Ovis aries: one gene and its partner. The protein of the gene in region 1 purifies or fractionates together with the protein of each later gene. This does not show direct contact. Links are inferred from orthologs where the notes say so. Each region holds a gene or a part of one and is shown in the gene's direction. Other genes may lie near its edges.

Region 1 (6,501 bases):
TGTACCTAGTCCTAACACTTAACAGTGTATGTTGATTGTGAGCATAACATGCTCATTCTATCTTACTTTATTTTTTTAATGTCTAAATTCAGAGGTAATATGTTTCCTATGCTTCGTCCTAAGTATAGTCTCACAATATTTCTCCACTTTAATAAGAGTTTCCTTGAATAAAAATAAGTGAGCAAGGAACACTAAGTTAAGCTTTTTTATGGGGTTAATTAAAAGTATTCTTATAACTAAAATAAAAGTACCATAGTTATGTGCTCAGTTCTGGTTTTATAAAGCATATGGTATATAAAACGGTCTGTGATCTTTTTATAAGTTAAATTGTAGATAAAGTTTATGTTACTCAATTTCATGTGATTGGAAATAATTTCTTTACAGAATTTAGATAATTCAAGTATGGCTCTAAGGTATGACCTGTGTTTTCAACATACTATTTCTAGGATAAAGTTAGAACAGTTAATTTTTTTTAAACTCTTGACTCCAACTTTCTATACCTTTTCTTCTCTTAAAAGTTGAATTTGTAAGCCCTTTTCTGTAGCTGTTACTAGTTGGAAGATCTCATTTAGTTGTATTTGCCTGCTTTATAATGCAGAGGAAAGTGAGGAGACCTTAAAAAACACCAAAGAAATTCAGAAAAAAGCTGAAGAAAAATATGAGGTGTTGGAGAATAAAATGAAAAATGCTGAAGCTGAAAGAGAGAAAGAACTGAAGGATGCACAGAAAAAACTAGATTGTGCCAGAACTAAAGCAGATGCTTCTAGCAAAAAAATGAAAGAAAAACAACAGGTAATTTTTTTTAATAGAATTAATCTTTTAACATCAGCGTAGAACTGAAGGGTGGTAGAGCACCATTGGTTGACATGGCCTTCTTCATCGATATGTGTCACAAATCAAAAAGTGAGAGACAAAGTTGCTTGATAAAGGTTTGATTTTGATAATGTTTCATTCAGGAGTGGACCAAAGCTTGTATCATGTAAGCCAAGCTGTGTCTTATCAGAGAATCACTGTTGACGTTTCTGTTTGGTGATCATCTGTTTGAACAGACACTGTGAAGGAATAATGATGGCAAAGCATGTTATATTTGCAGTGCTATTCAGTTGTAGACTATTTTGGATAGTTTCAAGGCTGGAATTTGAACCTATGTTTTTCTGTTTACAAAGAAGGCTACATGCTCAATCACTATTCTATACAATTTCACTATTGAATACAGTTTCACTTAAATCTAACTTTGCTTCACAGTTCTTTTTAAACCCACCTTATGATTCTACTATTAAATATTTAGCTTTATACAAAGCATTTTGTAAAGAACTAAAGGCTATAATGGGAAAGAAGAGAAGCTATTTTTTTTTGTCATTAAATAATTGTTTAAAAAAGGTTTTTAACCTCTCCTAATTTATCTGCTATATAGAATTCTGTATTATTTTTCTCTATAGGAATAAAAGGATGAAATAGTTTATGCAGAGTTCTTTGAACCCATAAAAATTGTATGTACATTTTTTAATATAGAAAAATAAATTCATTTTCCCTTTTTCTTCTTTGGAAGCAGCTTACATGTTTTCAGTAATTGAGTAAGCTATGGTCCTTACTTGCTTAAGTATCTTATTAGTTTTGCTGAAGTGAAGTCGCTCAGTCATGTCCGACTCATTGTGACCCAATGGACTGTAGCCTACTGGGCTCCTCTGTCCATGGGATTTTCCAGGCAAGAATACTGGAGTGGGTTGCCATTTCTTTCTCCAGGGGAACTTCCCAACCCAGGGATCTAACCTGGGTCTCCCGCATTGTAGGCAGACGCTTTACTGTCTGAGCCACAGTAGTTGGTAACTATTGAATGCCCAGATGCTGTGTTTTTTATAGGAAGTTGAAGCTATCACCCTGGAGCTGGAGGAGCTCAAGAGAGAGCATGCATCCTATGAACAACAGCTTGAAGCTGTAAAGGAAGCTATCATATCCTACGAGGGTCAGATTGCAGTAATGGCCTCTGAGGTGGCTAAAAATGAGGTGAGAGTGATTTAACCACATTAGAGAAATACAGATATCAGTCTGCTTCTGAAATGGTGGCTTAAAGATGTTTGACTTCAGAGGTCTCAGTCTCTTCACCCCTGTCATGATGAGAGGGAAAATGATGACTACCAATCAGAAAGAGTCCTGAAATAATATCACTAATTGTTTTAGTCCAGGTCTATTGGAAAATGAAAACACCCAGTAATTTGACCAGGCCGAGTTTAAATAAAAATTATTAACTATAACAGGAATTTGGAATGATGTATGACTGGATTGCTAAGGGGTAGAGAAAACTCTAAAGAATGAATAGCAGATATAGGAGCAGTTATTACCTATAAGCTGAAGCAGTGCACCCCCAGAAGGAACAAATCTGGAAAAGAGCCCCATTCTACCTGCAAGGCTGATAACTACATGTAGTTGGAAAACACATTATTGTGGCCCTCTGGTGGTGGGGTTTGGTGTAGTAGGGAAACCATGCTGAGCAAAGTGCTGCACAGGACATCTGCTGGGAAAACAGCTTTCTGGGACACCAGGGGGACTGGCCACAGGGAGGTGCCCAGCCTGTGAACAGGCTGCAAAGACTGCTGCTGGGTATGCCATGTAAGTGACAACCTTGCCTTTGAGAAAAGCACATCAGAACCAAGAAGTGAAGCCCCTTCCTTCTCCAGTGTCCCTAAAGCATCCTTTACTGATGAGGCTTCATATTGTTACACTCGGCAAGGGAGAGTTGTTCCCATCTCAGAAGCAGGCAGTGAAGGGTGGATTTGGGGTACGAGGTTTCATGTTGTGAAGATATTTCTATTTCCTGCAAATATTAGAAATGCTCCCTCATGAATATTGGATACCCTCTTGACCCTTTCTTTGATTTTGACCTTGAATTCTGTTTTGTTTCATTATTTCTACTCATACTTTTTAAAACTCAGATTTAATTGGCATAACATTTATATTGGTTTCAGGTGTACAATATAATGGTTCAACATTTTAATATATTGTGAAATGATCACCCCATAGCAGGTTTTTTTCTTGTGATGAGAACTTTTTAAGATGTGCTGTCTTAGCAACTTTGAAATACATAGTAGTAGTTATTATTACTACTGTCACCATGCCCTACAAAGTGTAACCACCTTTGGTTTTTTGATACACCTTTTTGTTGTTGTTGTTAGTTTTCTGTTCTGTTGCAGTTATGTACTTTTTGTAGGTCATGTTAACTAAAATGTAATAGCTTCTAACAGGGGCATTCCATCCATTTACCTAGGATATAGTAAAGTGTGTTTTTTTTGCCTTTTGTCCTCTACTTTTACATTTCCTGTTACATTTTTTCCTTGAGATGATTGTTTTAATTGCTGTAGTGTGCATTGTTTTAGAAAGTAGTTCTTTTCTCTTCTATTTGTGGTTAAACTCAAGGGTTTTTTTTAACACATTATCAAATCAATAGCAGAACAATTTTTTAACTATCTTTTTGAATCAGGGTTCAAAATGCTTTTCAGCTTTGTGTTTTGTCTTGCTGATTACCTTTTCTACAGTTTCTTTTCTGCCTTCTGACTTGCCTTTTTGTCTCATTCCTCCATATCTTCTACCATCTTTCATGGACGTCATGTTGTGGAATTTTTTTTAAAATTAGATGTCATATTTTTAAAGAGAAATGTGGAAGTAAAATAAGTCACTTCTTCCTTGATCTAAATAATGATAAAATCAAAAGCATATACATATTTCGATAAAGAGAATATCTATTTTTCTATGGAAAACTATAAAATGTATCTCTAAGTTTGTAAATGTTGTTCTTTTAGTCTCTATATTCTAAATTGTTTCTGTTTGCCCTCTTAGGGAGCTAAGAAGATAAATTGCCTTCAAATTAATTATGTTCAAACGAAACTAAAAACTTTGGCTCAATCTGAAGTGATAGATATCCTTGTTTTTCTCTTAACCATTGTAGATTGAAACAGTTACACCTATGACACCATCTTCAGTCTTTAGGTGTGAGAGAATCAGCTTAATAAACATGTTTTTGTCATGCGCTTTTGTTTTGGATTTTTTAGATGAATGCTGAGATTTAACTTCCTCCTGCAAAGGACCTTTTATGACACAAACATTATAAAGAAATTACTTATGTCATGTTCAATAACTTAACCATAATGTCAGGTATTGTTTATCGCTCAAAATTATCTTGTTTTCTAATGAGCATGCCTTAAAAAATTCCTAAATTTTTACTGACGCTTATCGTCACTTCAAGATATCTATTCTTCCTCAGTCTTTTAGCAAGTTGTTCTACTCTTTGTTTTTCCCTACCTAAATCTGAATTGAGCTAGGTTCTTTTTTTTCAGATGTTTGTGTGAGTTTGTGACCATATCTTTACCAGAAAGACCTTTAAGATCTAGCAAAGAACTTTCATGGGGAGGAGGTGAGAGTTGGTAGACTAAATCCCAGCTGTAATTTTCACTTCGGAGACAAACCGATGATACTAAAAGAGTGAGAAGTTTTTCTTTGTGCCACAGATATGTTTCTTCAAAAAGTTTCTCTTCCTCTTCCATATCTCTGTTTTAACCCCTGTGCTAGAACTAAACACCCTGACCTTTTGTTGCCACTGTCAGAGGCCTTATGGCTTACTTCTGTAGAAGGGAAAGGAACCAATGCCAGCTTACCTTACTTCCACCTCCATTCTTTGCCTTCATAATAAATGGCATTTGGGGGTCTGTCATATTATTTTGTAACCACCACCAGAATCCCACTCTTTTGAGAGACCGTACAGGGCAAATCCCAGTAACCCCTCCTCCACCTAGGTGATCCCAGTTTTACTGTGTCACAGGAACTTTGTTGCTTCCAGCATGAACAATGCATCGCATCCCTTTTTCCGTAGTGGTAATACAAGTTTTATTTGTAAATGTGTTAGTCATTTTCATGGGGATATAAAATGTAGAAGGTTAGATGACACATTGCCTGTGTCACATAGAAGTCTGTTGGATGATCTTTCAGTAAACCAAAAAATGTCTCCATCTTACCTTGCTGTATGTTATCTTGTAATTATTCATTGCAGGAGTTAGTAAACAAAGCTCAGGAAGAGGTGACCAAGCAAAAAGAAGTGATAACAGCCCAAGACAACATAATTAAAGCTAAATATGCAGAAGTAGCAAAACACAAGGAGCAAAACAATGACTCTCAGCTTAAAATTAAGGAACTGGACCATAACATCAGCAAACATAAACGGGAAGCTGAAGATGCTGCTGCAAAGGCATGTTTGTATTGTTCACTTTTATTTTTAATCAAATTTTTGCCTCTGGGTTTTTGAAATGTTCTGGTAAAGTGCTCAGTGAAGAACTTAACTGTAAATGGCAGAACTACTGTGTAACAATTTTGAGGCATGCAACTATGACTGCTTCTCAGCAGTCACCAAATGGCAAAAATGTTTTATTTTTAAATTTAATCTCAGGGGCTTTATTCCCATCTCCAAGATGTTTTTAACCAAATATTGAATGGCCTCCCATGGAAATGACTGTTTTTTTTAATCCCCAGTTGTTCATAGAACTAATTACTAATGTATTAATAGTAGTAATATGTATTCTTTACCTAATTGCAAATTGAATTTAGGGAACTCACAGAGAAGTATCCACAAGGTACTTCTGAAGTAAGGACTTAGTTGGTTTAGGATATCCTTATGAGGGTTAGTATAGTCAATGTTCGAAGTCTCATTTGAAATCTGACATTTTGCCAGGCAGTGTCTTTGAAGTTATCCCACAGTTTATTGGTCACTCTTAATTAAAATTTCTTTCATGTATCACAGTAACCTAAGTACTTTAAAGAAAATACATAGTTTTGCAGGAATTCATTGCTTAGTTAGGAGGCTTCATTTATGTGGTTTTAATAATTCACTCATCATGTTTTCTTACTGGTGTGTAACAGTTTGGTGCCTTTTAAATCTTTTTTAGCATCATAAAAGTACAAGAGATTTAATTTCAAAAAGATGAGAACATACAAAACAGTCTTCCACCCTTTTCTGCAAGAGCCATGATTGCCTGTTCAGGTTCATTACTTTGTTTAAAAAGCATTTTTTTAATGACCACATGATAATATCCTAATATTTTATTAGTATTGATTTCCCATTTGCCTAGTAGCCTAGTATTAGTGGATTCACTGAACTATTACCAATGCTAATATTACTGTTAATAGGTTTTTTTAAAAATATAATTGACAATACTAGTATTGGTGGTTGCTAGGGGATTCTATTTACAGTTAAGTGAAGAGGGTACAAAGAGCGACTTGCAAGCAGAACTGCTAAAAAGTCAAGTATTCTTTAAAATACATAGTTTATCAAATATTTATTGTATACTTGTACCAGGCACTGACTTCCCTGGTGGTGCAGATGGTAAAGTATCTGCCTACAATGCAGGAGACCTGGGTTTGATCCCTGGGTCGGGAAGATCCCCTGGAGAAAGAAATGGCAACCCACTCCAGTACTCTTGCCTGGAAAATCCCATGGATGGAGGAGCCTGGTAGGCTACA
Region 2 (6,501 bases), on another chromosome or scaffold:
AGAGGAGGGCATGGGCAGCAGGGGCGTCAGGTGGGACGGGCCTCGGCCCCGCGGAGACAGGAGGAGGCTGCGTCCCTGATGGAGACTGTTCAGGACTCACGGTGGCTGATGTGTTTCTCGTAGCTCCTTTGCTCTGTTCAGACTCCCCTGCATGAATTCATCAGCACTGTGCAGTCCTGGCACGTGGACACGCCTGTTCACCGGGGCGTGTTCTCCACCCTGATCGCTGCGTCTGTGGTTGAGATAAGCCACTGGCTCCGGAAGGTGCGTTGTCCCGAAGCTGCTGTGTCTCGTTTTGGCTACTGAAGAGGCTGTTTTCTGCTGGCAGCATGTTCTTGCCTTTCTCTAGCTATTTTTCAGAGCTTAGGTACCGCGGGAGGTCCGCTTCTTCCATAGCTGCACCTCACGGTTCCGTGGCTGGTTTGTGTTCACAGCCGTGCTTGGCGGTGAGCAGGGTGTGAGACTGCCCTGGTGCTGTTTCTGGAGCAGCTCACATCTCTGACTGCTGTGCGATACATAAGCGTTACTTTTTCTTTTAAGCACAGGAAGTTTGAATCTGTAATATCAGTTTAGACAGATAGTTTGCTCCTAGTCCATAAAGGACTGGCCAGATCCTGGCAGGAGCCTGTTTCATATGATTAGCCTGCTTGGTTCAAGGCCGACATAACCAGGATGATGATTCAGCTCACAATAAAGCGTGCGCTGTCAGGGCCTGGAGCCCTGATGCTAGTGTGTGAGGGCGTGCAGCAGCGCCTGAAGACAGTAAACGGTGGGGTTTCTCTCAGTATGGAAGGGAGAGATTGACAGGAAATACCATGGAAATATATAAATGCAAACATACAATTTCTACAAATGTTGTATTATGAAATCACAAATGTAAAAGAAGTTGACAAAATTGTAGGACATTAACAGAATTTCAGGCCCTCCTGAAAGCTTGAAGGGAGATCATTGTGGTTTAGGAGCGTGATTCCTGGCCTATACACAGCCTAATAACTGGAAGTTACTCAGGCCCGCAAGGCACACAGCTGACAACTGTGAGTCCATCAGTGGCGTGTGGGCCACTGTGGCCCATTTATTTACATTTTTTTCCTATGGCTGCTTTGTGCTATAACAGCAGAATTGAGTAGTTGTGGCTGAGATCATTTTGCCCACAAAGTTTAAAATGTTTACTATCTATTATTTACTATTTTACTGCTTTATAGAAAAAGTTTGAGTTGAGAAAACCTGATCTAGGCTAATAAGAAAAACAGTTAAATTTGCTTAGTGTAGAAACACACTGTTGACAAAAGTAGATAATCAAAGAGTGTTTGGCAGAGGGCTTGTCAAGTGACATGTTTTTTCTTCTGTCCAATTGATTGATACCACTGTGAATCATGATTATGATAGCCATTGCAGAAGTTAACAAAAATACTCATTTTGAGTTTCTGGAAAGCCTTTTTCAAGTTTGTAAGAAAGTTCAGAGAAGCATAAAATGAGTGCTCAGCCCAGTCTCAGTCTTGGTCACATTACTAACTGGACTTTCTTTCAGGTGTCTGATGCGGAAGAGCTCACCCCGCCAGAGGGCCTTTCAGCCCTTCCGCCATTTTCAAGGTGCTTAATAGGAATAATACTAAGGTCTCCACATATAGTCAGGTAATCCTTTCTCGTTACTGTCTTCTTGCTCCTCTGGCTGTAAGCCCCCAGTAACGTTAGCTCTCTTCCTTTTACTCTCAAGATTTAGCCTACTTCCACAAAGAGACATCATAACTCTCTGAAAGGAACACGCATCCACACAGTCTCTGGTTTTGCTTATCGTAACTCCAGTTCATTCAGAGGGAAACAGGTGCAGCGTTACTGTGCACCGCAGTGCTTCTGACGGGGGGTGCTTGGTGAGGCTCCGTGTGGCTCTCACTGGGCGCGTGCTCGTCTCTCCACGTGGGTATCACCTGGCCTGACTCCAGGCTGTCTGTGCACAGGCAGCACTGCTGGGCCACACGAGGGAGAGCCCTGCGGAGGGCTGATGCCTGCGGACCTTCCACGGTGGGTATGTTTGCTGCAGACTCCAAAAGCATCATTTCAACAGCTGTGGATTATCTTTCAATAGCACATTATGTCTTTCTTGTGATATTATAAGTACGCAGAGGGCTTCATTCACTTACCAGAACATCTCTGTTCTCTTACTAGCAGCGGCATCTGATTTTAGTGTCCCACCTGTATGACTGGTCATGCTTACGGTGAAGAGTGTGGGAAGACTTTAATCATCCCATGTGACTGAAACGTGGTATTTCCCGTTCTCTGAAATCTGGAATTCATGGTGGTTGATGAATCTGACAGAATGTGGTCCACTGGAGAAGGGAATGGCAAACCACTTCAGTATTCTTGCCTTGAAAACCCCATGAACAGTATGAAAAGGCAAAATGATAGGATACTGAAAGGGAAGCTCCCCGGGTTGGTAGGTGCCCAACACGCTACTGGAGATCAGTGGAGAAATAACTCCAGAAAGAATGAAGGGATGGAGCCAAACCAAAAACAATACCCAGCTGTGGATGTGACTGGTGATAGAAGCAAAGTCTGATGCTGTAAAGAGCAATATTGCATAGGAACCTGGAATATCAGGTCCATGAATCAAGGCAAATTGGAAGTGGTCAAACAAGATGGCAAGAGTGAACGTCGACATTCTAGGAATCAGCAAACTAAAATGGACTGGAATGGGTGAATTTAACTCAGATGACCATTATATCTACTACTGTAGGCAGGAATCCCTTAGAAGAAATGGAGTAGCCATCATGGTCAACAAAAGAGTCCAAAATGCAGTACTTGGATGCAATCTCAAAAATGACAGAATGATCTCTGTTCATTTCCAAGGCAAACCATTCAATATCACAGTAATCCAAGTCTATGCCCCAACCAGTAATGCTGAAGAAGCTGAAGTTGAATGGTTCTATGAAGACCTACAAGACCTTTTAGAACTAACACCCAAAAAAGATGTCCTTTTCATTATAGGGGACTGGGATGCAAAAGTAGAAAGTCAAGAAACACCTGGAGTAACAGGCAAATTTGGCCTTGGAGTATGGAATGAAGCAGGGCAAAGGCTAATAAAGTTTTGCCTAGAGGACACACTGGTCATAGCAAACACCCTCCTCCAACAACACAAGAGAAGACTCTACACATGGACATCACCAGATGGTCAACACCGAAATCAGATTGATTATATTCTTTGCAGCCAAAGATGGAGAAGCTCTATACAGTCAGGGAGCTGAGTGTGGCTCAGATCCTGAACTCTTTATTGCCAAATTCAGACTTAAATTGAAGAAAGTAGGGAAAACCACTAGGCCATTCAGGTATGACCTAAATCACATCCCTTATGATTATACAGTGGAAGTAAGAAATAGATTTAGGGGACTAGATCTGATAGATAGAGTGCCTGATGAACTATGGATGGAGATTCATGACATTGTATAGGAGACAGGGATCAAGACCATCCCCATGGAAAAGAAATGCAAAAAACAAAAAATGGCTGTCAAGGAGGCCTTACAAATAGCTGTGAAAAGAAGAGAAGTGAAAAGCAAAGGAAAAAAGGAAAGATATAAGCATCTGAATGCAGAGTTCCAAAGAATAGCAAGAAGAGATAAGAAAGCGTTCCTCAGTGATCAGTGTGGGGAAATAGAGGAAAATAACAGAATGGGAAAGACTAGAGATCTCTTCAAGAAAATTTAGAGATACCAAGGGAACATTTCATGCAAAGATAGGCTCGATAATGGACAGAAATGGTCTGGACCTAACAGAAGCAGAAGATACTAAGAAGAGGTGACAAGAATACACAGAAGAACTGTACAAAAGAGCTTTACAACCAAGGTAATCACGATGGTGTGATCACTCTGCTAGAGCCAGACATCCTGGAATGTGAAGTCAAGTGGGCCTTAGAAAGCATCACTACGAACAAAGCTAGTGGAGGTGATGGAATTCCAGTTGAGCTAATTCAAATCCTGAAAGATGATGCTGTGAAAGTGCTACACTCAATATGCCAGCAAATTTGGAAAACTCAGCAGTGGCCACAGGACTGGGAAAGGTCAGTTTTCATTCCAATCCCAAAGAAAGGCAATGGCAAAGAATGCCCAAACTACTACACAATTGCACTCATCTCACATGCTAGTAAAGGAATGCTCAAAATTCTCCAAGCCAGGCTTCAGCAATACGTGAACTGCGAACTTCCTGATGTTCAAGCTGGTTTTAGAAAAGGCAGAGGAACCAGAGATCAAATTGCCAACATCCACTGGATCATGGAAAAAGCAAGGGAGTTCCAGAAAACATCTATTTCTGCTTTATTGTCTATGCCAAAGCCTTTGACTGTGTGGATCACAAGAAACTGTGGAAAATTCTGAAAGAGATGGGAATACCAGACCACCTGACCTGACTCTTCAGAAACCTATATGCAGGTCAGGAAGCAACAGATAGAACTGGACATGGAACAACAGACTGGTTCCAAATAGGAAAAGGAGTATGTCAAGGCTGTATATTGTCACCCTGCTTATTTAACTTATATGCAGAGTGCATCATGAGAAATGTTGGGCTGGAAGAAACACAAGCTGGAATCAAGATTGCCAGGAGAAATAGCAATAACCTTAGATATGCAGATGACACCACCCTTATGGCAGAAAGTGAAGAGGAACTAAAAAGCCTCTTGATGAAAGTGATAGAGGAGAGTGAAAAAGTTGGCTTAAAGCTCAACATTCAGGCATGAGATCATGGCATCTGGTCCCATCACTGCATGGGAAATAATGGGGAAACAGTGTCAGACTTTATTTTGGGGGGCTCAAAAATCACTACAGATGGTGACTGCAGCCATGAAATTAAAAGATGCTTACTCCTTGGAAGGAAAGTTATGACCAGCCTAGATAGCATATTCAAAAGCAGAGACGTTACTTTGCCGACTAGGGTCCATCTAGTCAAGGCTGTGGTTTTTCCTGTGGTCATGTATGGATGTGAGAGTTGGACTGTGAAGAAGACTGAGCGCCGAAGAATTGATGCTTTTGAACTGTGGTGTTGGAGAAGACTCTTGAGAGTCCCTTGGACTGCAAGGAGATCCAACCAGTCCATTCTGAAGGAGATCAGCCCTGGGATTTCTTTGGAAGGAATGATGCAAAAGCTGGAACTCCAGTACTTTGGCCACCTCATGAGAAGAGGGGACTCATTGGAAAAGACCCTGATGCTGGGAGGGATTGGGGGCAGGAGGAGAAGGGGACGACCGAGGATGAGATGGCTGGATGGCATCACGGACTCGACGGACGTGAGTCTGAGTGAACTCCGGGAGATGGTGATGGACAGGGAGGCCTGGCGTGCTGCGATTTTTGGGGTCGCAGAGAGTCGGACACGACTGAGCGACTGGACTGAACGGCACTGATGAATCTTGGCCATTCTTTGTCTTTCTATAATGGATTAAGATGTGTCATTAAGTAATCGCATTGTTTTCTTTGTTTCAGGTCTTTTTTAGATGAATTGAAGGCTTGTGTCATTTCTGAGGATATTGAAGGCATCGTATGTCTCACAGCTGTTGTGCACATTATCTTGGTTATTAATAAAGGTTGGTGAAGTCTCCTCTTATATTATCTGTGATACTGCTGAGTGTGTCTTACATTGATCCATTTTAGAATGTTTGGGAACGAGTTGCCTGCCAGTCAGGCTCTCAAGGCGCTTTCCCCAGCTTTCCATGTTCCACACATGTGCTGTCTGCCTGGGCGTCTGCTGTGTAGCTGCCCTGTACCAGCATGAATCACAATAGTTCCCTAACATATCTCCTGTCCACTCTTCCCAGGACACATTATTTCTCCTTCTCTGTACCTCAGACCAAATGTCTGTTGCTTTGTCATTTATTGGCTTTATCGTGTATGTTTAAGAGTCAGAATCATTTTTGCCAAAGATGGTGTGTTTTGGTATTAATATTCTACGTATCTGTGTTTTGCTTAACTGTGTGTACTCTTGAGTGTTATAGCCAGTTGAAATACTACTGGAAAAACAGAGATACCTCTGAGTTACTTACCAAAGTGTAAAATAGAGTAATAACTCTGCAAGTGACTACTGTTGTGTTTCTATATTTTTTGACTAGTTTTAGTAACGTTCAAATTATTTTCTAAGGTATTATGCATAGGGGGCTCTCCGCAAAACAAGTTATCCCCATGAGCATGAATGCATAGCATGGCTGCAGATTCGTGACAGGAATTTGTAGCTAGTGTGACCCCAGCCGGGAATCCGGAAAGACTTGCCTGAGGGCATGTCTCCTGGGGGCCAATAAGCAAGGTGAGGGATGTTCTCCACGTGGAGGGTGTGAGTGAGTGAGGAGAGTCTGCGGGTGAGGGGCGTTCCCCACGTGGAGGGTGTGAGGATGGAGATGGAGGAGTGAATGAGTACCTCGTGCTTAATGAGTGCTTAGGCATTTGCCAAGCAGATGACGATTCTGAAATGTGCTGGTTTTATCACTGTTGAGGATGGTGATGATGAAGTCTGATGGCACGGACGGCAGAATGG

The links.
Region 2: the proteins of SMC2 (region 1) and NCAPG2 purify together in Homo sapiens (affinity purification with western blotting; 4 studies listed by BioGRID and IntAct, with this or other methods). This does not show direct contact. The link is inferred for Ovis aries from reciprocal best matches to the Homo sapiens genes SMC2 and NCAPG2.

The regions. Positions count from the first base shown.
Region 1 is NC_056055.1:18,962,369-18,968,869, reverse strand, and holds part of SMC2 (structural maintenance of chromosomes protein 2), read left to right. Parts: intron 1-598; coding exon 599-792; intron 793-1,860; coding exon 1,861-2,004; intron 2,005-5,038; coding exon 5,039-5,233; intron 5,234-6,501. UniProt on the Homo sapiens protein: Central component of the condensin complex, a complex required for conversion of interphase chromatin into mitotic-like condense chromosomes.
Region 2 is NC_056057.1:120,930,489-120,936,989, reverse strand, and holds part of NCAPG2 (condensin-2 complex subunit G2), read left to right. Parts: intron 1-123; coding exon 124-264; intron 265-1,528; coding exon 1,529-1,632; intron 1,633-5,459; coding exon 5,460-5,560; intron 5,561-6,501. UniProt on the Homo sapiens protein: Regulatory subunit of the condensin-2 complex, a complex which establishes mitotic chromosome architecture and is involved in physical rigidity of the chromatid axis.